Linked DNA regions of Canis lupus familiaris. The protein of the gene in region 3 purifies or fractionates together with the protein of the main gene of each other region. This does not show direct contact. Links are inferred from orthologs where the notes say so. Each region holds a gene or a part of one and is shown on either strand. Other genes may lie near its edges. The genes, in order: PRPF3, PPIH, SART3 and TUT1.

Region 1 (5,062 bases), on a different chromosome or scaffold from region 3:
TTTTAAGAAAAATAAAAAACATTCTTATCTCTGACTCCCAACTCCAGTCTTGTATACTTTTACTAAATACCTGCTCTTTTTCAGTCATCTTTGTCTTTAGCCTTTCTCTCTATCATTTTTTTTAGCAAAAACCTATTGGCTCACTCAAAAGAGAAAGGTTTTAGTTGTGGCTGTGTTTTTAACTAGCTGAATCCCTTGGGTAAATCACTTAGCACACAGAACTTTCTCATAAGTAGAGATAATATTAACTGTTATACCTTCTTCAAGAGTTATGTAGGTCATAAAAGATTTTTACACTTTGATCAGATTTGGGATGAATAGAAGAGATAATATTTCAATTAGTAAATTTGGAAAAATAGATTAAGACCTTGAGGTGTGGGATCCCTGGGTGGCGCAGCGGTTTAACGCCTGCCTTTGGCCCAGGGCGCGATCCTGGAGACCCGGGATCGAATCCCATGTCGGGCTCCCGGTGCATGGAGCCTGCTGCTCCCTCTGCCTGTGTCTCTGCCTCTCTCTCTCTGTGACTATCAGAAATAAATAAAAATTTAAAAAAATACTAAAAAAAAAAAAAAGACCTTGAGGTGTTACAATGTATGATAATCATTCAATATTAGTTAATCAGAGTATACTTAGTTGTCATCATTGTGAATTATTAGAAGAACATGGGGGATTTTGTTTGTTTTAAAAAGTGAGTGGTGCCTGGGCAACTCAGTTGAGTGTCTAATTCTTGATTTCACCTCAGGTCATGATCTCAGAATCATGAGATTGAGGGGAGCCCTACAGGCTCAATGGGGAGTCTGCTTGAGATTCTCTCCCTCTACCCCTCCCCCTACTAGCATGTGTGCAGGATCTTTCTCTATAAAATAAATTAACAATTTTTTTTAAGATTTTATTTATTTATTCATGTGAGACACAGAAAGAGGCAGAGACACAGGCAGAGAGAGAAGCAGGCTCCACACGGGGAGCCCGATGTGGGACTCGATCCCAGGACTCGAGGATCACGCTCTGAGCTGAAGGCAGAAGCTTAACCACTGAGCCACTGAGCCACATCCCTAAATAAACAAATCTTTAAAAAATATTACTAAAAGATTGAGAACACACCTGGCTGCCTCAAATCAAAAGAGCATGAGACTCTTGATCTCAGGGTTGCGAGTTCAAGCCCCATTTTGAGTGTAGAGATTACTTAAATAAACTTTTAAAAAATAATAATAACAAATAAAATTTAAGAAAATTAAATAAACTGCTTTGGGAGTCCAGAGGATTTTCCTGTAACTCCAAAATTATAAATTTCATCTTGGCCCCACCTAACCCAAATACTCATGCAGAGCAACTAGAGCAGCTCTAATTTTGTTTTCTGTATTTGCTACTTTTCAGTTGATTAAAGCGTTCACCTGCTTCAAGAAAAAACAAGTTAGAACACTTATGAAAGATAAGGATGCTTTTAAAAAATGTAACATACTACCATTATCCAACTTAAAAATAGCAAATTTCTTTTAATGTGAGTGATTGATTGTCACCTACCTTCCTCTAATGGGCTTCTTGCTTTTATACTTTCATTTCTCTACCTGGCAGTTGACAATGACACACCAGTTACTCTGGGGGTGTATCTTACCAAGAAGGAACAGAAGAAACTTCGAAGGCAAACAAGGAGGGAAGCACAGAAGGAACTACAAGAGAAAGTCAGGCTGGGCCTGATGCCTCCTCCAGAACCCAAAGGTACGTATCTTGGAGGCAAAGAAGAAAGGGTGGTACATTTGTTTATCCCTGTATTTCTAGAGGAACTTTTATATCTCTCTGTATTTGGGTGCTTTTTGTTTTCTCTGAATCATTCATTGATTTTTTTCTTCCTATTCTAAATTTTCTACAATCTTGTTAAGACAGGTCAACATATTCGGTGTAGAGGTCATTTAAGGTTTATTTGTAAAGTGTAAAAATATATAACACTGATCTTCCTGGAAGAGTAATGGTCTTGAAATTCATGAAGATAGTAGTTACAGTGTTTGCATAGAGTGTTTTGTACATAACTCTTAATATTTGAAAAATGAAAATACTGTTGAAAGAAACCTTCACTCCTGTAGTTTCCATTATCACTCAGTAATATTTGAGTGAGCACTGTTATGTGTAGGATCTTTTATTAAATGCTGTGATCAGGGGCAGCCCAGGTGGCTCAGTGGTTTAGCGCTGCCTTCAGCCCAGGGCCTGCCTGATCCTCTAATGGGCTGGAGACCTGGGATCAAGTCCCACATCTGGCTCCCTGCATGGAGCCTGCTTCTCCCTCTGCCTGTGTCTCTGCCTCTCTCTCTGTGAGTCTCTCATAAATAAATAAAAATCTTTATTAAAAAAAAAAATGCTGTGATCAGAGTGAAAAATACCAACGAAATTAAAGTTCCTTATCTATCATAAATTTTCAAGCAGTGTAAATAAATGTATACCAACTGTATAGATTGTGTGACCTTCCACAAATACTGAGTTAATTGGATGGGCTTTTCAAGGTGTAGGGGTTTTTGGAGGAAATAAACTTGGAGCAGAGATTTGAAATAGGTAAATAGTTGAATTGATTGAGAAAAGGTGACAAGTTATCCCAGCTGGAGAATTCATTGTTTTCTATCCTCTCTCCACTTGCAGTGAGAATTTCAAATTTAATGCGAGTATTAGGAACAGAAGCTGTTCAAGACCCCACGAAGGTAGAAGCCCATGTCAGAGCTCAGATGGCAAAAAGACAGAAGTAAGTGCCATGGGATTGGGTGGAAACCCGGGCAAGTACCTTTCCCAGACTCTTCTGAGGGGATCCATATTTGGAGGGAGGGGAGAGTCCTCTGTTGCTCTCTCTTTCCCTCAGCTTTGCCTCTGATCTTCAATGCCTTTCTCACTTGTGGATGTCCTTCCTGTCACGACAGAGCGCATGAAGAGGCCAACGCTGCCCGAAAACTTACAGCAGAACAGAGAAAGGTCAAGAAAATTAAAAAGCTTAAAGAAGACATTTCACAGGGGGTACACATATCTGTATATAGGTAGGTGTCCAAACTGGGCCAGCCTTTGCCTTAGAAATACCAAAAACTTTTCCAAGTGCTTGAGGCAGAATCACTGTGGTCTAACATCAGTCCCTACTCTCTTCTGTGACCTCAACATGAATCAGGAGCTAGTAAATCTTTTATAATGAGGGAGGGTTAAAGACTTACTGTTCTATCTCTGAGAGCTTCTCAGTGAACCAGTACTAGTTCTGAAGAATGAATGAATGAATGAATGAATGAATGAATGAATGAATGAATATACCTGGTGAGACCAACATATGAACTAAGGATCATTCTCTATGTGAAATAAAATATAATCTATTTCTTCAGGAAGCATCAAAAGTTTCTTTCTTCAGTAACTATATTCTTATTCTCATGTAATGTAGTAATCCTTTTATTCCCACTACAAAATACATTTTGCACATTGTAAATATTTTCTACCTTCTTGTTGATTTAATGTCTTCATTTTATTTTTATGTTGAGTACGTGTGTACCTTCCATTTTTTAAAAGTGCTCTTGTTTAATAACTAGTTCTTTATTATGAAAGTGATACATTATTACAAAGTAATGAATATTTAAGAATTTTTTTAATATAACAGTATAGAAGGCCTTTACTGAAAAAAGTCCCCTTCTTGCTCTCTGATCCCTTACTGCTTACTGTAGATAATTGCTACTAACAATTTTTTGTAATTCTAGAAAATTCTAGAAATTTTCCATGCATAGCATTCTGGTAACTTGACATTATAAGCATCTAGAAGGCAAAGAATTTGTTGATCATTACACTGTCAAGAACAATTAGCTTGCAAGTACTTTTGGATAGTGGTAATACCTCTTCTTTCTTAGAGTAAATTTTGATTACCTGCTATTTGTTGTGTGTGTGTACAATACTGGTCTTTGAAGTATAAGACAGTGGAGTTACTTCAAGACTTACTGATTCTGCCTTTCTTTCAAGCGTTAGTGTACGTGCTTACTCCAGAGGCTGTTGTTTGTAGAGAGAAAACCATTGTGGAACATCTGTTTATTTGCCATTCCATTCAGGCAGCTACTGATGCTAAAACAAAAGCCATAATTAAACTTTCCCTTCTCCAGAGTTCGAAATTTGAGCAATCCAGCCAAGAAGTTCAAGATTGAGGCCAATGCTGGGCAACTGTACCTGACAGGGGTGGTTGTACTGCACAAGGATGTCAACGTGGTAGTAGTGGAAGGGGGTGAGTCCGAAAAAACTGAGGGAGACTGTCCCCACACAACCCTAGGCCTTGAAGTGAATAGAATGGTGGGGAAAAGGAGGAGAAGATAAGTGTTTTAGAGCCACGCCTAGGTATAACGTCCTGGGTTTCTGTTTCTGTGTTTATTGGAGTAGAAGAACCTAAAATGTGGTTTCCAAGATTGCAACTACCACCTTAGGGTCTGAGTAACAAATGAGCTCAGAGGTTCTTTCTACTTCATCATCTTCCACCATTCTGGCAAAATTCTCCTTCTCTGTTTCCAGGCCCCAAGGCCCAGAAGAAATTTAAGCGTCTTATGCTGCATCGGATAAAGTGGGATGAACAGACATCTAACACAAAGGGAGATGGTGAATGGGGGTTAGAGGGGATTAAGTGGGAGGTGGGGATGGTACTCTGTCCATTCATCTATTCCCTCCCACTGAAACTTGATCACACTACATATTGTGGAGGAATTTTAGAAAGACCTGTTTGGACTATGAACATAGTAGACATTCATAGAGTTTTTATTATGTGATGATATGTGTGAGGGTTAGTTATTCTGCCCGACCTTTAAGGCCTTTCTATTAGCTGGTTTCACTGTCTGCCTATATTTACACAGGTTATGGGCATATATTTAGTTTGTGAAATTTAGCAGGCTATGCATTTATATGTGCATTGTCTATATTATACTATTTTTAAAGAAGTTTTTAAAAGTTTTTTAAAGGCAAAAAATATATATACAGATATATATATATATACACACACACTTTTCTTTAGCCCAACTTTATATAGATATAAAATAAAAAATATAAAATACATGTATATATTTGATACCCTCCTGTTATT
Region 2 (5,828 bases), on a different chromosome or scaffold from region 3:
TTCCTTGAAAAGCAAGACTCCTTGAGAGATGATTTTCTTTTTTGCACTTCTGCAACCAAAAAATAATTATTAAAACAAATACATATTCTTGGTCCAACTCTAGAAGGTCTCAAATCCTACTTCTGCTTCTTGTTCATTCTATTTTTTCTTTCCTAAGAGTGGCACCAAACAACTGTTTCTTGACACTCAGCCTTCTGGCTGACCGACTATATTGTCTGATCCTGGAGCTATCGGCAAGTGACTGGATGTGCCTGGCAATGACCAGTAAGAAGCTGGTCTTGTCCCTGTTAAGACAATACAGCAACACAGGAGCCTATGGGAAGGAAGGAAGGAAGGAAGGAAGGAAGGAAGGAAGGAAGGAAGGAAGGAAGGAAGGAAGGAAGGAAGGAAGGAAAGGAGGAAGGAAGGAAGGAAGGAGAAAGAGAGAGAGAGAGAAAGAAAGAAACAAAGAAAGAAAGAAAGAGAAAAAGGATGAAAAGGAAGAAAAGAGGAAGAAAGGGCAGAGAATAGATTTTTAGCCCTTCTTACCAGGTACCACAAAGTATACAGTTGCCCAGGCCCTACTACCATCAGTGGAAGCCAGGGGTTGCAAACTTGCCCTCCAGGGGCAAGTGACATAAGTAAGGGAAGCAGGTGGTAGTGACTGAGGTGAAATGGCAAGGACAGACCCTGATTAAAGGAACAGTTATTTGATTCTAAACCATTGCTGCTACATGAGAAACACAGGCCAAGTGCACACCTGTTTTCCATTCTTTAAAGAGAAAACAAAACTCTGGAATTTTCTGGTGAAATGTCCCAGTTTTACAACATCACACACATGAAACAACGTGTATCTAAAAGTCTGGTTCAGCCTAAAATCTGCCACTTTGTAACCTTTCCTAGACAGGAAGGAAGTCTTTAAAAATTCCTCAAAGTTTAACTAAATAAATATACATAAGAAGGAGAAAGACATCTCCCAAGACTCAAGAAAATAGCAACATGACTAACCAAATGATATTAATAAGACCACAGACATGCACACAAGTGGTTGGTTAAGAACAAAAGTAGATTTAAGAAGAGATATGGTTTATTCAGCACCTTCCAGAGTCAGAGGAGGGCGAAGAGGCTTGGTATGAGAGACACATACAGTCTAGTCACAAGAAAGTCCATTAATCGCAGCGAAGAGCCATTCTACTGGGCCCCGCTAGTAAATAGAGGAAACATCCTTCCAGAATGATCTACCTCTGTTGCTCTGATTCTTTGCCCACTAAATCGGTTTCTGATGAAAAACTCAGCTTTCCAGGCATGTGCAAATAGGACATAAGCATTTAGCTCACTGAAAGAGAACTTACTGCCATTTAGAAAACAAAACAATTGCATCTGATTTCTACCCAAGTTTCATGTGACTGACTAGTTTGCATCTCTCATGGATCATCTATAGGCATGCTGGGAAAGTTAGCTTCTGGCCCTAAAAGGCTGATTTGGAAGTCAGTGACTCAATCAGGGTGCTGATGTCTGTCACCTAATGGTATAAAGAGTGGAAGCCAGCAACTCTAAAGGACATTCCTGTCACCCCTCTTCCTCATCAAACTTGGTTATTGTTTCAAGCCTCAGGACTGGACTCCGTAGCAAAAAAAATAGCAGCAACAGCAGTAATAAAAACCAATATTCCTACAGGTCTTTATTAGCAAAGAAATAATACTTACATTAACAAAATCCCCACCCTGGATCATGAAATCTTTTATGACCCTGAAACAGAGAATAAAGCATCCTGAGAGAAGGTTCTGTCATTTAGAAAAACATTGACGTACTCATTATACTTTAGATTAACACTGATTTAAAAATAAAACGTTTTTTAAACTTTGGTGTTTTGTTTTTTTTTTAAAGACTTTATTTATTTATTCATGAGACAGAGGGAGAGAGGTGGGGGGGCAGAGACACAGGCAGAGGGAGAAGCAGGCTCCATGCAGGGAGCCTGAGGTGGGACTCGATCCGGGGTCTCCAGGGTCACGCCCTGGGCTGAAGGCGGCGCTAAACCGCTGAGCCACGCGGGCTGCCTCCTTTTTAAAGAATGTTCTGCTCTAAAAAAAAAAAAAAAAATGTTCTGCTCTTACTGGCTTTAGCTAATCAGAATCCATCCCTGGGGGTCTGGGGATGGGGGGAGAGGATGCTGAGAACACTGTTAATTGTAACCTTGCACCTACTGTTAATACCTTGGCATTTCTGCTGAATTCAGTTGGCAAAGTTCTGGTGCTAAACCGCTGAGCCACCCAGGGATCCCTTGGTTTTTAATAAGCCTTCAAATCTATTGTTGAGTTCACAAAAAACATTCCTTCTCAAGATCTAGGAATTATCCTATGGTTTTAGTTCCCTTTAAAGAAATGAATCTTACTTTCTAAAGAAAGTAAGAAATTACAGGGCAGCCCGGGTGGCTCAGTGGTTTCGTGCCTGCCTTCGGCCCAGGGTGTGATCCTGGAGACCCCGGATCAAGTCCCGCGTCCGGCTCTCTGCATGGAGCCTGCTTCTCCCTCTGCCTGTGTCTCTCATGAATAAATAAATAAAATCTTAAAAAAAAAAAAAAGTAAGAAATTACTTTTTTAGAAAGTAATTCTAAAATCCTGCAGGATGGTTTGCCAAGCCTTACCTGTGGAAGGTGCTCCCTTTGTATCCTATCGGAACCCCATCTTTTCTATAACCAAAAAGAAAGAGACTTGGAATGACGACAAGTAATGACAGGTCTTCCCAGCTTCCCACACACTCGAGCCAAGAGACTCTCTAAAGGTGGTGGGGAGGAGAGAGATAAAGGAGGCAAATGAACTGAAGACAGACCCTTGGGGTATTAACCTTCTACTACCGGCACCAGCAATCATTCAAGGCCTACGGGCGTGGTTCCCCAAAACCCCACTGCGGCCCCGGGGCACCCTTCAGGAGCGAGCAGACGAGTCAACCACGTCTGAGAGACTGACCTGAATTCTCCAGTGCAGAACTGCCTGAAAGGGAAAAGAGGGGATGCTTCAGTCTCGGTGACCCCACAGCGGGGGGCGCTCCTGGCGCAGAGGGGCGGGGAGGGGAGCGCGGCCTGAGCCCCCCGCGGGCCCGCCGGCCTCGACACCCAGAATTACGATGAACTGAGATGGGAAGGGTAAAAACGGGGACAATTCGGAGCTCCGATCTCAAGGGCGGGGAGCGGGCCGCCACGCAGGCCCGGTCCGGCTCCCGGTTCCGATGAGCATCCCCTTACCTAAAATTCTCGGCCGTCTTCGGCACAACGTCTGCAAAGAGCTCGATCTTCATGCGGCCGACCTCCTGCAGGCGGCGGGACACGGTCAGAAGGCCTCAGCGAGCAGGGATCCGGGGGGGCGGCCCGGTCCCCCCCGCCCCCCGGCGGGGCGCTGGGATGCGCGAGACGACTCCTCTCCCTCCCGAGCCCCCCGCCCCGCAGGTCGGTAGGTCCCGGTCCAGCTTCGCCTTCTGGCTTCCCGAGTCCGCTATCCCCGGGTGCGGGAGACCCTCCCGGCCGGGCCTGGAACCTCACCTGGCCGCCGATGCTGACATCAAAGAACACCACGGGATTGACGGGGCTTGAATTTGCCACCGCCATGGCTCCGACCCGGAAGCAGTAGCCGCAGGCACCGGTTCCGGCGAACCCGAGCCCCGATTTCCGGGGCTTCTACTCGCCGGCGCAGGCGCAGGCAGAGCCACCCGAGGCCAGGCCCCGCCCCCCGGAAGTCCCGCCCCGCTGCGGAGCGCTCCCGGCCTCCGGCGCCGAAACTGGGCGTCGCGGAAGTGGGCGGGGCCAAGGCCTCCGAGCCGACGTACACGGCGCGTCTTTCCCCCTCCGCTCAGTGTGCGCCGCGGCGGCGCGGGAGGCGGTGGGTCTTAGGTGCTGGACCCTGAGCGCTCGGGTTAAGCCGGAACCGGAGTTCTGGTTCTGCTCGCGAGCTGCCCCTCTTGTCACCTACAGTTCATTCCTGCTGGAGCTTTTTGTTTTTTTCCCCCTTTTAAAGATTTTCTTATTTAATCACGAGAAAGAGAGAGGCAGAGACACAGGCAGAGGGAGAAGCAGGCTCCATGCAGGGAGCCCCACGTGGGACTCGACCCCGGGTCTCCAGGGTCACACCCTGGACCGAAGGCAGGTGCTCAACCGCTGAGCCACCTGCCCCCAGCTAGAGCTTTTAAAATGAACCTGTTTATAGATCATTCCTGGCCTCCCATCCTTAGCTCTAGTGCCTACTATTGAGTAGCCCATAGTGAGGATCCAATAAATAGATTCAATGAATTGAGTGAAAAAAGGTGACCTTGGGCAAGGCTTAGAGTCACAGCCTGTATCTGATATCATAGCTATTGTGTCCTATATCCTTTGATCATCCTTTTTGGCCAGTTGTCTGCGGAAGCAGGGGTTACATGTAAAAACTCAATGTCTCAACTTAATGGTGTCTTTTTTATTTTTAGTTACTTTTCCTTTCCCCTTGGTATCCTTCTCTATCTCCAACTGAAGAGGGAGAAGAAAGAGTCCGAGGAGAGTAGGAGGGAGAGGAGCAGGATGGGAAGAAAGAACAGCAGGAGTCACCCTTCAGTATAGTTTATACCAACTATTCTAAAATAATTTTTTTTTAATTGGTAATATCCAATGTTGATGAGGTTGTGGAAAAACCAGTGCTAGTGAAAATCAGTGATGATGCCTAGCATTTGTTAAGCAGCTACTAAGTTCTAAATACACATTTCATTTACTTTGGTCCTCACAACTCTATGGGACAGGAATGACTACTGTTCCCATTTATGGATCAAGAAATTGAGGCTTAGAGAGGTTGACCATAGGGGCACCAGTGGCTCAGTCGATTAAACATCTGACTGCATCTCAACTCAGGTCTTGATCTTAGGGTGGTGTGTTCAAGCCCCACATTGGGCTCCATGCTGGGTGTGGAGCCTACTTAATAAAAAGAAAAGACAAGAAAAAAAGTCTGACTATAGAAACATTATGTTGACACAAGTTTTTCTTTTTCTTTTTTTTTTAAAGCAACACTACAAGTGATATACCAAAACTGTGTAACATTTGTGTCTTCTGGCCCATAACTGCCAATCTTTTCTGGAGTAACTCGAGAGAAAAGAAGAGTTATATTCGCAAAGACTTTCACCACAGCATAATCTCAAATAGTGAAAAAGCAGAAACAACTTGAATGCAAACAAGATAATTTATAGAACATCAACGTGATAGAATATCATGTGGCTACTGAAAGAATAATTATGAAGACTGCTAAAACACAGGAAAATGTTTTATGGTGTATATATATGTTTTTTTAAAGATCTTATTTATTTATTTATTTATTTATTTATTTATTTATTCATGATAGACATAGAGAGAGAGAGGCAGAGACACAGGAGGAGGGAGAAGCAGACTCCATGCCTGCAGCCTGACTTGGGACCCGATCCCAGGACCGTAGGATGGCGCCCTGGGCCAAAGGCAGGCACTAAACCGCTGAGCCACCCAGGGATCCCCTGTTTTATGGTATATTAAGCTAAAAATCAGACTGTGAAAATGAACCTATAACAACCACTTAAAAAATATATGCATTTGAATAAGAACCAAAAAGGAATATATGAAAATAGTTGTGTTAAGAATACCGGATTAGAGGAGATTTTTCTCTTTAAAGTATTTGCTTTAATATGATTATGTTGTTTTTACTTTTCAAAAATAATTAATACCCATGATAATAGGGGGAAAGTGCTGAATTAGACATATATGTGCTCTGCTGAACAGAACACTAAGTAAACCATTGAACTTAAGTCATTATTATTGATCAATACAAAGTTACTTGAGGATATCAAACACACTTGAGAAATATATTTTT
Region 3 (5,062 bases):
ATACCTCCTGCGCAGTTTGAAATCACTGATGAAATCACTGAGTACCTGCTCAGGAAAAACAGTCTATATTGAGCATCTTCAATGTGCTAAACATAATTAAAACCTAAGAAACAGGGGATCCCTGGGTGGCTCAGTGGTTTAGCGCTGCCTTCAGCCCAGGGCGTGCTCCTGGAGTCCCAGGATCGAGTCCCACGTCAGGCTCCCGGCATGGAGCCTGCTTCTCCCTCTGTCTGTGTCTCTGCACCCCCCACTCTCTCTATGTCTATCATGAATAAATAAATAAAATATTTAAAAAAAAAAAAAAAAAAAACCTAAGAAACAGGCCAAAGTGGCTTCCGAACATTCAAAGAACAAGTGACACAATTTCCATGATCCACGGCTCCTGAAATTAACACAAGAACCCCAAGGGCCCCAAATCAAAACTGCTTCAAGATGGGGCATCTGGGTGGCTCAGCAGTTGAGCGTCTGCCTTTGGCCCAGGGTGTGATCCTGGGGTCCCGGGAGAGAGTCCCGCATCGGGCTCCTTGCGTGGAGCCTGCTTCTCCCTCTGCCTATGTTCTCTGTCTCTCTCTTTCGTGAATAAATAAAATCTTTAAAAAGCAAAAAAACAAAAAAAGAGAAAGATCTAATCTAAATGGTACAGTCATCAGACTTCCTGACCACCGGCAGCCCTGAATCCGTTGGGGGAAAGGCAGGCATCCTGACATCAACACTGAAAGTGAGGTCCGAAGGCAGGGTGACCGCAAACCATCAAGGACCAAAAGGACCGAAAAGCATTACAGTCTGTGGAAGAACAAAAGATCCTTGGAGAAAAAGAACTGGTGCTGTTAATGACTCTGAGACCTTCACAAAGAGGTGACTGGATCATCCCAACACATGGGAACATCACCTTCAGAACGGTCAAGAGGTTCTAAGCAGCCACACGGGCAGATCAGAGGAGAGACGAAGTATAGCTTCTAACAGCACATATGGTGTAATTTCACATTCACAAAACACCTGTAATTTTCAGTATCTGGATTATATAAACTCAAAAATTGATCAATTCTTTTGGGTAGTAAATTTGAAAAATTCTCTTCCTCAGGGCAGTCTATCTTCCAAGTTCCAGGGATTCTCACAAGGTGAAATTCCCCCAGTGGGGAGTGGGGAGAACCAGATATGGAAGAAGGATGTTTAATTTAAAAGGAGAAAACATTGGCGGGGGGGGCGCCTGGGTGGCTCAGTTGGTTGGGCATCTGACTCTTGATTTCAGCTCAGGTCATGATCTCAGGATTGGGCTCCGTGCTCAGCATGGAGTTTACTTGTCCCTCTCCCTCTGCTCTTCCCCTCCCAACTCCCCCAGCTTGCATGCACACCCTCTCAAATAAATAAAACCTTTAAAAAATAAATAAATAAAAGGAGTGCTTTTTAAAAAATATTTTTAAAAAACATTTTGCCCACAGCATTCTCTGATGTGTCCTAAATGTACATACAGAGAATAAAGAACCGGGGACGCCTGGGTGGCTCAGCAGCTGAGCATCTGCCTTTGGCCCAGGGTGTGATCCCAGGATGCAGGATCGAGTCCCACATCAGGATCCTTGCAGGTAGCTTGCTTCTCCCTCAATGTCTCTGCCTCTCTCTCCTCTGTCACTCACAAATAAATAAAATCTTAAAAAAAAAAAAAGAGAGAGAGAGAGAGAGAATAGAGAATCATGCTACCAACAGGGGAGGGTAAAGAAACTTAAAGGGAGAGGGGTCTACCCTCCACCTGTGCTAGCAAAACATCAACTCAAGCAGACAACACAGACATCTGTGGGGATAGAGGGTTATGTATCTCAACTACAGTGGTGGTTACTAGAATCTCCATGTTTGATAAAATCTCAGAGGTAGATACACACATTGTACACTAAGATTAATTCCCTGGTTTTGATTTTGTGCAATAGTTACAAGATATTGGGAAAAGCAGGATGAAGTAAGTATAGAACCTTTCTGCACTATTTTCCCGTAAATCTGTAATTATTTTAAAATAAAAAGGTTTTAATAACTTTTTAATATCAAAAAAACAAACAAACAAACAAAAAACAAAAACAGTTTTCTGTCCAAAACTTCTAAAAACCCATTCAACATGTAAAAGGCAACCTTTAGTCATCTGGAAATACTATGTAAGTTCTCCCCGCCAGAAAGATACTAGGTGTGAATTTATTCACTCCTTTACTACAAAGGTTTCTTCTATGTATTTTAAAACCAAATATTCTCAAATGAAAACCACAGAAAAATAAGTAAACTCAAATCTTTTTAACTGCCAGACTAACCCCCTCCTTTCTGAATTGGGGGCACACCTCACAGTACAACCCAGGGCAGCAGAGATGGATGCATTCACAGACACTTAGAAAAAGTGAATGGGGAACTTACAAATGTAATCCTTCACAGCTTTCTCAAAGAGTTCGTACACGTGCTCTCTGTCCAGGCCGTCCAGAGCCATGCTGATCTCATCATGCAGCCACTCCAGCCAGAGCTCTGCAAGACAACAGCACCTCCTGCATCACCATCTCCTTCCCCGAAGGGCAGGATGAAAGCAGGGACTTTACTCTGAGTCACGAGCACACAAGCATTTTACCCACCATATACAACTTGCTACGGTTCACAGAAATTCAATTCTTAAAACCTGTACCAAGCACATAGAAGGTTTATGCTTCCAATAAGATCAAACAACTAAAATCATAATACCCTACACCTGTTGGGCATTTTATTATTTTTGTGAAATACTTACACATATATATTTCTCATTCAATCTTTGTTAAATTCCTGTAGATGATAGTCATAATAATGAATACTAATGGCATTTATCAAAGCATTTACGATATTCTAGAGTATTTGTTACATGTTGTACATAGGATATCTCATCCAATCCATGTACTATAAGGCAGAAGATATTGTTAGCCCATTTTACTGCTGGGAAAACTGAGTCTTACAATGTTTACATAATTTGCTTAAGGTCATACAGCTAGTAAAATAATAAAACCAGGAATGAATCTGGGCAATCTGATTTCATACTCAGCAGTTATGCTTTTGGGCAGAGAGAGGGGGACAGAGCTGGATCTGGGACCAGCATTCTCCAAAGCCTCCCTAAAAGATCAATTATAATAAACATTCCTGAACACTCTTCTACAAGATGCATGGTGTAATTATGTTTCAAATAAGCAAGTAAGTATAAATAACCTAAATGCCCAAATACTGTGTAACAAACAAGGTATAAAACATTTGCATTAAAAATTGTTTATAAAACCTTAACTAGGGGTGCCTGTGTGACTTAGCTAACCATCTGCCTTCATCTCTGGTCATGATCCCAGGGTCCTGGGATCGAGCCCCATGTCAGGCTCCCTGCTCAGTGGGCAGCCTGCCTCTCCTTCTCCCTCTGCCTGCTGCTCCCCTTGCTTGTTCTCTCTCTCTCTCTCTCTCTCTCTCTCTGAAGATCTTAAAAAAAAAAAAAGGAAAACAACAGTTTAATTATAATACAATTATGTGGTGCTGAGAGAATGGATTAAATATATAAACACTGGAATGGAAAATAGACACGGGAAAAGTTTAATCACATAAAAAGTTTTCATCATGACATAGGATTAAAAAAAACAACAACAGAATCCAAAATATGAATCAAGATTATATGATCACAACTAAGTTTTGCAAAAAAAACTAGAGGATGAAAAACTAGAAATCATGGACAATGGATGATGGGTTTTCTTCTTTGCATTCTATTTATATGTTCCAGATTTCTGTAAGTAACACGTCCCAGTTTCAGCTCTGAAAACAGAATATATACTCTTCAGTTCTCTGTTTATTAAAGCAGCCTCGCTGCTGATATGTTACCTTCAGTCAAAGGAAAGATCTCACTCATCTTCTGGCGAGCCATCCTCACTTTGGTAAGCTCCCCTTCCAGGCGGAGCAGCCGGATCAAATCCACATGGCAGTTGTAGTCATAGACGTTAATAGATAGCTAAAAGGAAAAGAACACCAGGTGAAATTTAAAATGCCACCATCAAAATAACCTAGCACCTTTTAACCACCGGGAACAATGCACATGTCTGCAACAAACAAATGTGCTATCTGGGAGAGCCACTGAGACAGTGATACAACATTTACCTCCAGGAAGAGAAAGAAAATCTCTTTTTCTCTAATAAATGCATATCTCTTCCAATCTGTTCTAGCTGGAGGAGAACGTAGTTAGGTTTCTTTGAAATACAGGAAACATCCCGATGAAACAAACACACACACAGTGTGACCTTAGGTTATTAACTTTGCCAAGCCTCTATTTCCTCATCTGTAAAATGGGAATACCACTAGGGTCTAGTCCATAAGGTTCTTGTGAGGGTTTCAAAAGGTGATTAATAACATGCTTTAGCACCTGCCAGCTCTATAAGAGCTTTCTTCTTTTACTAAACAAACACACACAAAAGTGAAAATCCCTACTGGGAGAAACAAGAATGGCAGTACCTGTTGAAGCTGAGTGATAGGTATACAGATTTATAGATTTGAAACTTTTCAAACTAAAAGTTAAAACAAGTTAAAATAACTGTTTAAAAAGCTATCAGACGTCTGAAACAACAGAAAACAAAGAATCTGTCACTAGCAGACTTTCTCTTAAAGACAGAGAAAGGAAGAAAAAAGAATGATAAAAGACATCATGTAGCATCAGGAAGGAAGAACTGAAAGAGCACCAAATACAGACAAGTATCCTGGAATGGTCCTTCTCATGAGTTTTCTAAGTTTTATGTGGTAACTGACACAAAAGTTTTAAGACCATCTGATACTCAAAACAATAATATTTACAAGTGGGGATGGTAAAGGGACTTAAATGGAACTAAGTTTCCACACTTCACTCAGTGGTAGAACACAGATACCATGTAAGTCAAATACACCATTAATACCCAAGGCAACCACTAAGAAACTATACAAAGCGCTACACCAAAACTCATTATAAATAAATCAAGATGAAATCCTAAAAAATGTTCAAGTAACTCGTAGGAAGGCAAAGAAAGAGAAACAGAACATTTAGAAACAGAGGAAATAGAAAATAATAAAATGTTAG
Region 4 (5,581 bases), on a different chromosome or scaffold from region 3:
ATGCAAGGATACATAAACAGAAGAGACCACCCCCCCACACATGTGGGCTCTGGGAAAAGATCTTTTCCTGGAAAGTAAAGAAAAGCAGGGGAAAACAGTCAGACTCAGCTGGCATTAGCCTTTTATACTCTGTCCTTCAGCCTGCCCCTTTTTCTCACCTGAAGATGTGCAAGCAGTATTATCACAACTAGGAAGTGAGAACCACATGCCCAATAATGACAGAGCAGGAGAAAAGTCAAGTCCCAGACTGCCCAGGTCTGGACTTCTTGTTAAAGAAAACAATTAGGAATGCCTGGGTGGCTCAGCAGTTGAGCGTCTGCCTTTGTCTCAAGCCATGTTCCTGGGGTCCTGGGGTCCTGGGATTGAGTCCCACATCGGGCTCCCCACAGGGAGCCTGCTTCTCCCTCTGCCTATGTGTCTGCCCCTCTCTCTCTCTCTCTCTCTCTTTCATGAATTAATAAAAAAAACTCTTAAAAAAAATAAAGGAAACAATTAAACCTCTTGTGTTAAAACTTCTGTAGTGGGACACCTAGATGGCTCAGCAGTTGAGCATCTGCCTTTGGCTCAGGGCGTGATCCTGGTCCCGGGATCGAGTCCCACATTGGGCTCCCAGCTAGGAGCCTGCTTTTCCCTCTGCCTGTGTCTCCGCCTTTCTCTGTGTGTCGCTCATGAATAAATAAATAATAAAATTTAAAAAAAATAAAGCTTCTGTGGGTCAGTTGTCCAAATGTGATCTCTAAGAAAAACACACCCAGCCCATCCTAAGAGAAGATATGGGCTGCCAAAGCCATTTGCGATCACCAAAGCCATGCTTACATAACCAGAGCACAATCTGAGAACTATAATATGATGATACAACACAACAGTAAAACTGAACTTTTTTTCAAAGGAATAAAGAAGGTTTATTTCGTTTTATTTGCCAAATATTAACTGTTGACTTAGTACTGGGCACTGTGTGTAGACTGTATTTTTTTAAAGATTTATTTATTTGAGAGAGCGGGGGAAGAGAGAGAATCTTAAGCAGACTCCACATTTAGTGGAGTTTTAGCAAATAAAACGAAGACAATAAATTAGTGATCCAAAGTCCCCCAATGACTAACTCTGGCAAACTGACAAATCCAAGCAGGAGCCGGGGAGGTGGGAGTTTGGGGCAGGGCAGGGGATGGCAAAGGCTCACAAAGCTGAATTAGCCCAAGTACTGTGGTGTCCATCAAGGACAAGCCACATAAGGCACCAGCTGAAACAGGGCTCCTGGTTTCTCTCTCATTTCTTCTTGTACGTGGCACACCTGAGTCATTCTTTACCCCAAAAGCCATTCACTCTACCTTGTCCTTGTCCATGACGACACTCGCCACAGGTCCAAATGCCTGGAAGTACTGAGTAAGCTGAGCAGAATCCACATCCCGGGGAAAGCCACTGACAAACACACTTCGAAGTCCCTGGGCTTTTCGGGCAGCTCGTAGTTCTACTAGGTGTCGGTGTTTCCGGCCTCCCAAGTGGGCGTCTAGGCTGGGTCCTACAGAGATAATTGTGAAACAAAAGTATCCAAATCACTCTATCCAAATGTACCCACCCCTTGACTTTACCTAAATGCATACCTAAATCTTACCAATCCTTCCAAGCTACAGAAAGGGTGGCCTTTGAATAAACCAAGTCCTGCCTCTTTTCACCTCCCTCTCTTGTCCATTTGTCCACATAAGGTATTCTCTCTAAGTAGTTCCCAGGACAACTAGCTACAAATTTTTCTTAAACCCTTGGGATCCCTGGGTGGCGCAGCGGTTTGGCGCCTGCCTTTGGCCCGGGGGTGCGATCCTGGAGACCCGGGATCAAATCCCACGTCGGGCTCCCTGCATGGAGCCTGCTTCTCTCTGTCTCTCTCTGTGTGACTATCATGGAGAAATAAATAAAAATCTTTAAAAAAACAAAACAAAAGAAAACCCTCTCTAAGTGCTAGGTAAAGCAACACCCGAAAATTATTTTTAAAAATAAATAAATAAATAACAGGAAACTTATCCAGATCATATTACAGAAGAACTAAATAAAGCAGGACCCTAGACGTCACGGATGGTCTCTAGGTATGGTAGAGAGATTGCAAGTGCATGGTCTGAGGTCACACTGCTCAAGTTTAAATCCCAGTTCTGGGATCCCTGAGTGGCGCAGCGGTTTAGCGCCTGCCTTTGGCCCAGGGTATGATCCTGGAGACCCGGGATCGAGTCCCACGTCGGGCTCCCGGTGCATGGAGCCTGCTTCTCCCTCTGCCTATGTCTCTGCCTCTCTCTCTCTCTCTCTGTGTGACTATCATAAATAAATGAAATAATAATAATAATAATAATAAATCCCAGTTCTGGCAAACTGTGTGAGATCTTGGGCCAGTCACTTAACTTCTCTGTGCATCAATTTCGTGGGCCACAAAACGAAGATATGGATACAACTAACCACAAGGGCATACACATATAGAACATGGGAAAAGTTAGCAATTATTATTTTTGTTAAATTCTGGGTCAGCTGTTTGTTGCCACCGATGAATATGTGGGGCCAGAAAAGACTATCTTGGATTTTTGGCTTGCCCTATGGGGCAAACGGTGATAGTGACACACACACACACACACACACACACACACACACAAGGATAGAAGCTCCTGTTTAGGGAAGATCACGACTCCAGACTTCAAAAGTGGAATCTGAGGTTTCATGGAGTCCTGCGTGCTGTCCTACAAGAACCCTGTCTACTTTGCCAAACCCACCTTCTTCCTAGTCATGCACGCCATGCTACTCCGCCCGTCTCTGCCTTTGGGTCGCTCCTCTGTAGGGCTTCCCTGAGTTAACCGCGACTTTCTCTGTGATCCTACGGCTCTCCAGGTCTCCACCTCTGAATCCCCTCACCCCACCCGAGAGCCTAGAAGAGTACCAGACACAAAGGTGGCGTCCAACAGGCGACGGTTAAAGAGGGAATAAGAATGAAACGTTCGTTGTGGAGATTTCGGATGCTGGGAAGGAGAGGGAGAAGCGGCAGGACTTCCGCCACTCTGCAGCCCGTTGGTCTAGGCGGAGCGAAAACGGAGGCGAGCGGCCCTACCAACCGACCTGCCAAGGACTATGCCCTCCACCTCTAACCCTCGCTAGGACCCAAAGACGAAAACTCACAACCACCGCTTACGGTTGGCTGTAGTAACGTGGCAGAGGCAACAGCGGAAGCCCCCACGAGGCAGCGACTGGACATCCGCATCCACCGCCGCCATCGCGACTCTCCCGACCGCACACCACCACTGCGGCCCCCACCGGAACTCACGCCTACAAATCGCAGAGCGCTTGGAAGCAACTTCCGCCAGGCGGATAGGAAGTGACGTAGCACGGACCAGTCGCGCAAACACGCTCCCCGGCTTGGGAAACAGCTCCTTCGACTCAGGGTTCCGTTTCCACTCCGCGTTGTTTCTTCTACCAGCTTCGGAGAAAGCCGCAAGTCTTTTCTTTTTTGTTTTTTTTTTTTAAGATTTATTTATTTATTTATTTATTTATTTATTATTTATTTATTTATTTATTTATTTATTTATTTATTTATTTATTTATTTATTTATTTATTTATTTATTTATTTATTCATGAGAGACGCAGAGAGAGAGAGAGAGCACAAGGCAGAGAGACAGGCAGAGGGAGAAGCAGGCTCCATGCAGGGAGCCCGATGTGGGACTCGATTCCGGGTCTGTAGGATCAGGCCCTGGGCTGAAGGCGGCGCTAAACCGCTGAGCCAGCCGGACGTCCCAGCCGCCAAGTCTTTGATACTTATCTGCATGCTGCAAGTCGATTGGTGAACTCTGAGTCATTCCGGCGGTGATTGGCCCAAAGCCTCATGAATATTTATGAGGGCGACTACAAAAGCCGGCGCCGGGGCTGCTTCTCGCAGGCTGGTGGTTGCCTGCTGGGTGCTTCGAAGTACGCGGTTTACCCTCCTTCAAGGGGCGCTAGGGACCGCGGCGCTCCACCCCCGAACCCAATTCACCTGGCGAATAAAGGGGGAGGATGGGCCGACTTCACGAAGCTCAAGGCTGTCCCCGGACTCCCGAGTTCCCTAGGGCTGCGGCTTCTCCCTCTGCCCTCGGTCCTCCCTTCAATGGGTGTCATGCGACCATTTCCCCGCCCTGGTCGGGGAGCTCTGTCCCCACCGGGCAGCTCGCGGACTCCGCTCAACCACGGCCAGATCGCTGCGGTCCCGGTGAGTCACGTTTCCCTCCTGCATTAGTTGACTGCGTGGAGTGTTGCCATGAGGAGCCGGAGCCACCGGCCCACTTCAAGGCATGCGGCAGAACCTGCGCTGGTGGCAACTGAGCCAAGACCTTGGAGGGAGAAAATGCTACTTTCCCCCTCTCCCCAGACTGGTGTAGCGGGCAGTTCCTGATGCTGTCGAGGTGGAAGCTCAGAGTGGGGAGAGCGAAGTCGCTGGGGAGGCCCCAGGGGCCGAGAAGGGAGCTGGAGAGGACTCTCAAGGGTCTGAGCAGCTCCTGCTGTGGTTATCAGTCCGCAGCTCTAGACTGTGGAAAGCACACTGGGCCTGAGGCAGACAGCTCAAGGTCTGTGACCTTAAGGAAGTGCTGATTGCTGAGGCTGTCCCCTATCTTCAAGGAAGTGCGTGGAAGGAACTCATAATAGGCTTAATTCTTGTTCACTCTGTAAGGGTGCTCCTCCTGTTGGACCCTGCTCAGACTTCTGTTTCCCAAACCCAAAAAGGCGGGAGACAGCTCTAGAGCGTGCCCTCAATATCAAGGCAGGTGCTGAGGCTGGTCTTGGGAATCCCTGAAGCAGCAATCTGCAAACATACCACAGGGCTGGGTGGTAAGAGTGCAGCACCCTGCCCCCCAAGTAGGCTACATCTTGCCCTGATCTCTAGCAACTCCCAGAATTTCCTAAAAGAGAGGTTAAGGGTTGGAAAATAGAAGAAAAAGCATCTTCCCACCTCCCTTCCTGTGGAAGCCACCAACCATCCAGGGTCCATCCATTCCAACCGTTCTCAATCTGTGTGCCAAGAGGGAGCCTGGGTTCCAGCACCACAGGGAGCTGGGGAGCAGTTTGGGTCCCACGAGAAAGCTAGCCGGAACAGGCTGCCTAGCTCCTAAAGCTGTTCCCAGGCAAGCCCCATCTGTATCTCCTTTATCACCCATTGTCCTTTATTTTTCCAATTTAAGTCACTGTCCTCCCCCCACACACACACCCACACACACACCCATGGCAGAGAACAGCTGAGCCAGGAGAAGCTGAAGAAAACAGCTTTTTATTTGTTACTATAAGAACCAATTACAGAATCCGAGGTTAAAAAAATGGACAAAAGATCTTTATTTCTGAGAATTGGCGTACAAAAGGCGGAGGGGGCACAGGGAGGGAAGGAATAGAGAACATGGGTTGGGGTTGATGCCAGCTTAGGGGCCTCAAACTCCAATTAGGAAAGTCCGGACACCGGACAGGAAGAGAAACCCCCATTAGGAAAAAAAAAAAAAAAAGGATAGACATGGCAGTCATGGCAGTGCACGCCCCCCTCCCCCTACCACCACCTCCTGTCAATTTACCCTTCCCCTCCCCATCCCGTTTTCACAA

What was found.
Region 1: the proteins of SART3 (region 3) and PRPF3 purify together in Homo sapiens (affinity purification with mass spectrometry; 5 studies listed by BioGRID and IntAct, counting the BioPlex papers as one, with this or other methods). This does not show direct contact. The link is inferred for Canis lupus familiaris from reciprocal best matches to the Homo sapiens genes SART3 and PRPF3.
Region 2: the proteins of SART3 (region 3) and PPIH purify together in Homo sapiens (affinity purification with mass spectrometry; 3 studies listed by BioGRID and IntAct, with this or other methods). This does not show direct contact. The link is inferred for Canis lupus familiaris from reciprocal best matches to the Homo sapiens genes SART3 and PPIH.
Region 4: the proteins of SART3 (region 3) and TUT1 purify together in Homo sapiens (co-immunoprecipitation; 4 studies listed by BioGRID and IntAct, counting the BioPlex papers as one, with this or other methods). This does not show direct contact. The link is inferred for Canis lupus familiaris from reciprocal best matches to the Homo sapiens genes SART3 and TUT1.

Annotation. Positions count from the first base shown.
Region 1 is NC_049238.1:60,225,467-60,230,528, forward strand, and holds part of PRPF3 (U4/U6 small nuclear ribonucleoprotein Prp3), read left to right. Parts: intron 1-1,572; coding exon 1,573-1,716; intron 1,717-2,625; coding exon 2,626-2,725; intron 2,726-2,897; coding exon 2,898-3,011; intron 3,012-4,100; coding exon 4,101-4,219; intron 4,220-4,500; coding exon 4,501-4,584; intron 4,585-5,062. UniProt on the Homo sapiens protein: Plays a role in pre-mRNA splicing as component of the U4/U6-U5 tri-snRNP complex that is involved in spliceosome assembly, and as component of the precatalytic spliceosome (spliceosome B complex).
Region 2 is NC_049236.1:753,342-759,169, forward strand, and holds the start of PPIH (peptidyl-prolyl cis-trans isomerase H), read right to left. Parts: upstream 3,670-5,828; 5' UTR 3,581-3,669; coding exon 3,515-3,580; intron 3,286-3,514; coding exon 3,221-3,285; intron 2,970-3,220; coding exon 2,946-2,969; intron 2,669-2,945; coding exon 2,624-2,668; intron 1,729-2,623; coding exon 1,686-1,728; intron 1-1,685. UniProt on the Homo sapiens protein: PPIase that catalyzes the cis-trans isomerization of proline imidic peptide bonds in oligopeptides and may therefore assist protein folding. Participates in pre-mRNA splicing.
Region 3 is NC_049247.1:18,673,251-18,678,312, reverse strand, and holds part of SART3 (squamous cell carcinoma antigen recognized by T-cells 3), read right to left. Parts: intron 3,971-5,062; coding exon 3,844-3,970; intron 2,494-3,843; coding exon 2,389-2,493; intron 1-2,388. UniProt on the Homo sapiens protein: U6 snRNP-binding protein that functions as a recycling factor of the splicing machinery. Promotes the initial reassembly of U4 and U6 snRNPs following their ejection from the spliceosome during its maturation.
Region 4 is NC_049239.1:54,565,135-54,570,715, reverse strand, and holds the start of TUT1 (speckle targeted PIP5K1A-regulated poly(A) polymerase), read right to left. Parts: upstream 3,316-5,581; 5' UTR 3,240-3,315; coding exon 3,158-3,239; intron 2,897-3,157; exon of another isoform or gene 2,745-2,896; intron 1,517-2,744; coding exon 1,326-1,516; intron 1-1,325. UniProt on the Homo sapiens protein: Poly(A) polymerase that creates the 3'-poly(A) tail of specific pre-mRNAs. Localizes to nuclear speckles together with PIP5K1A and mediates polyadenylation of a select set of mRNAs, such as HMOX1.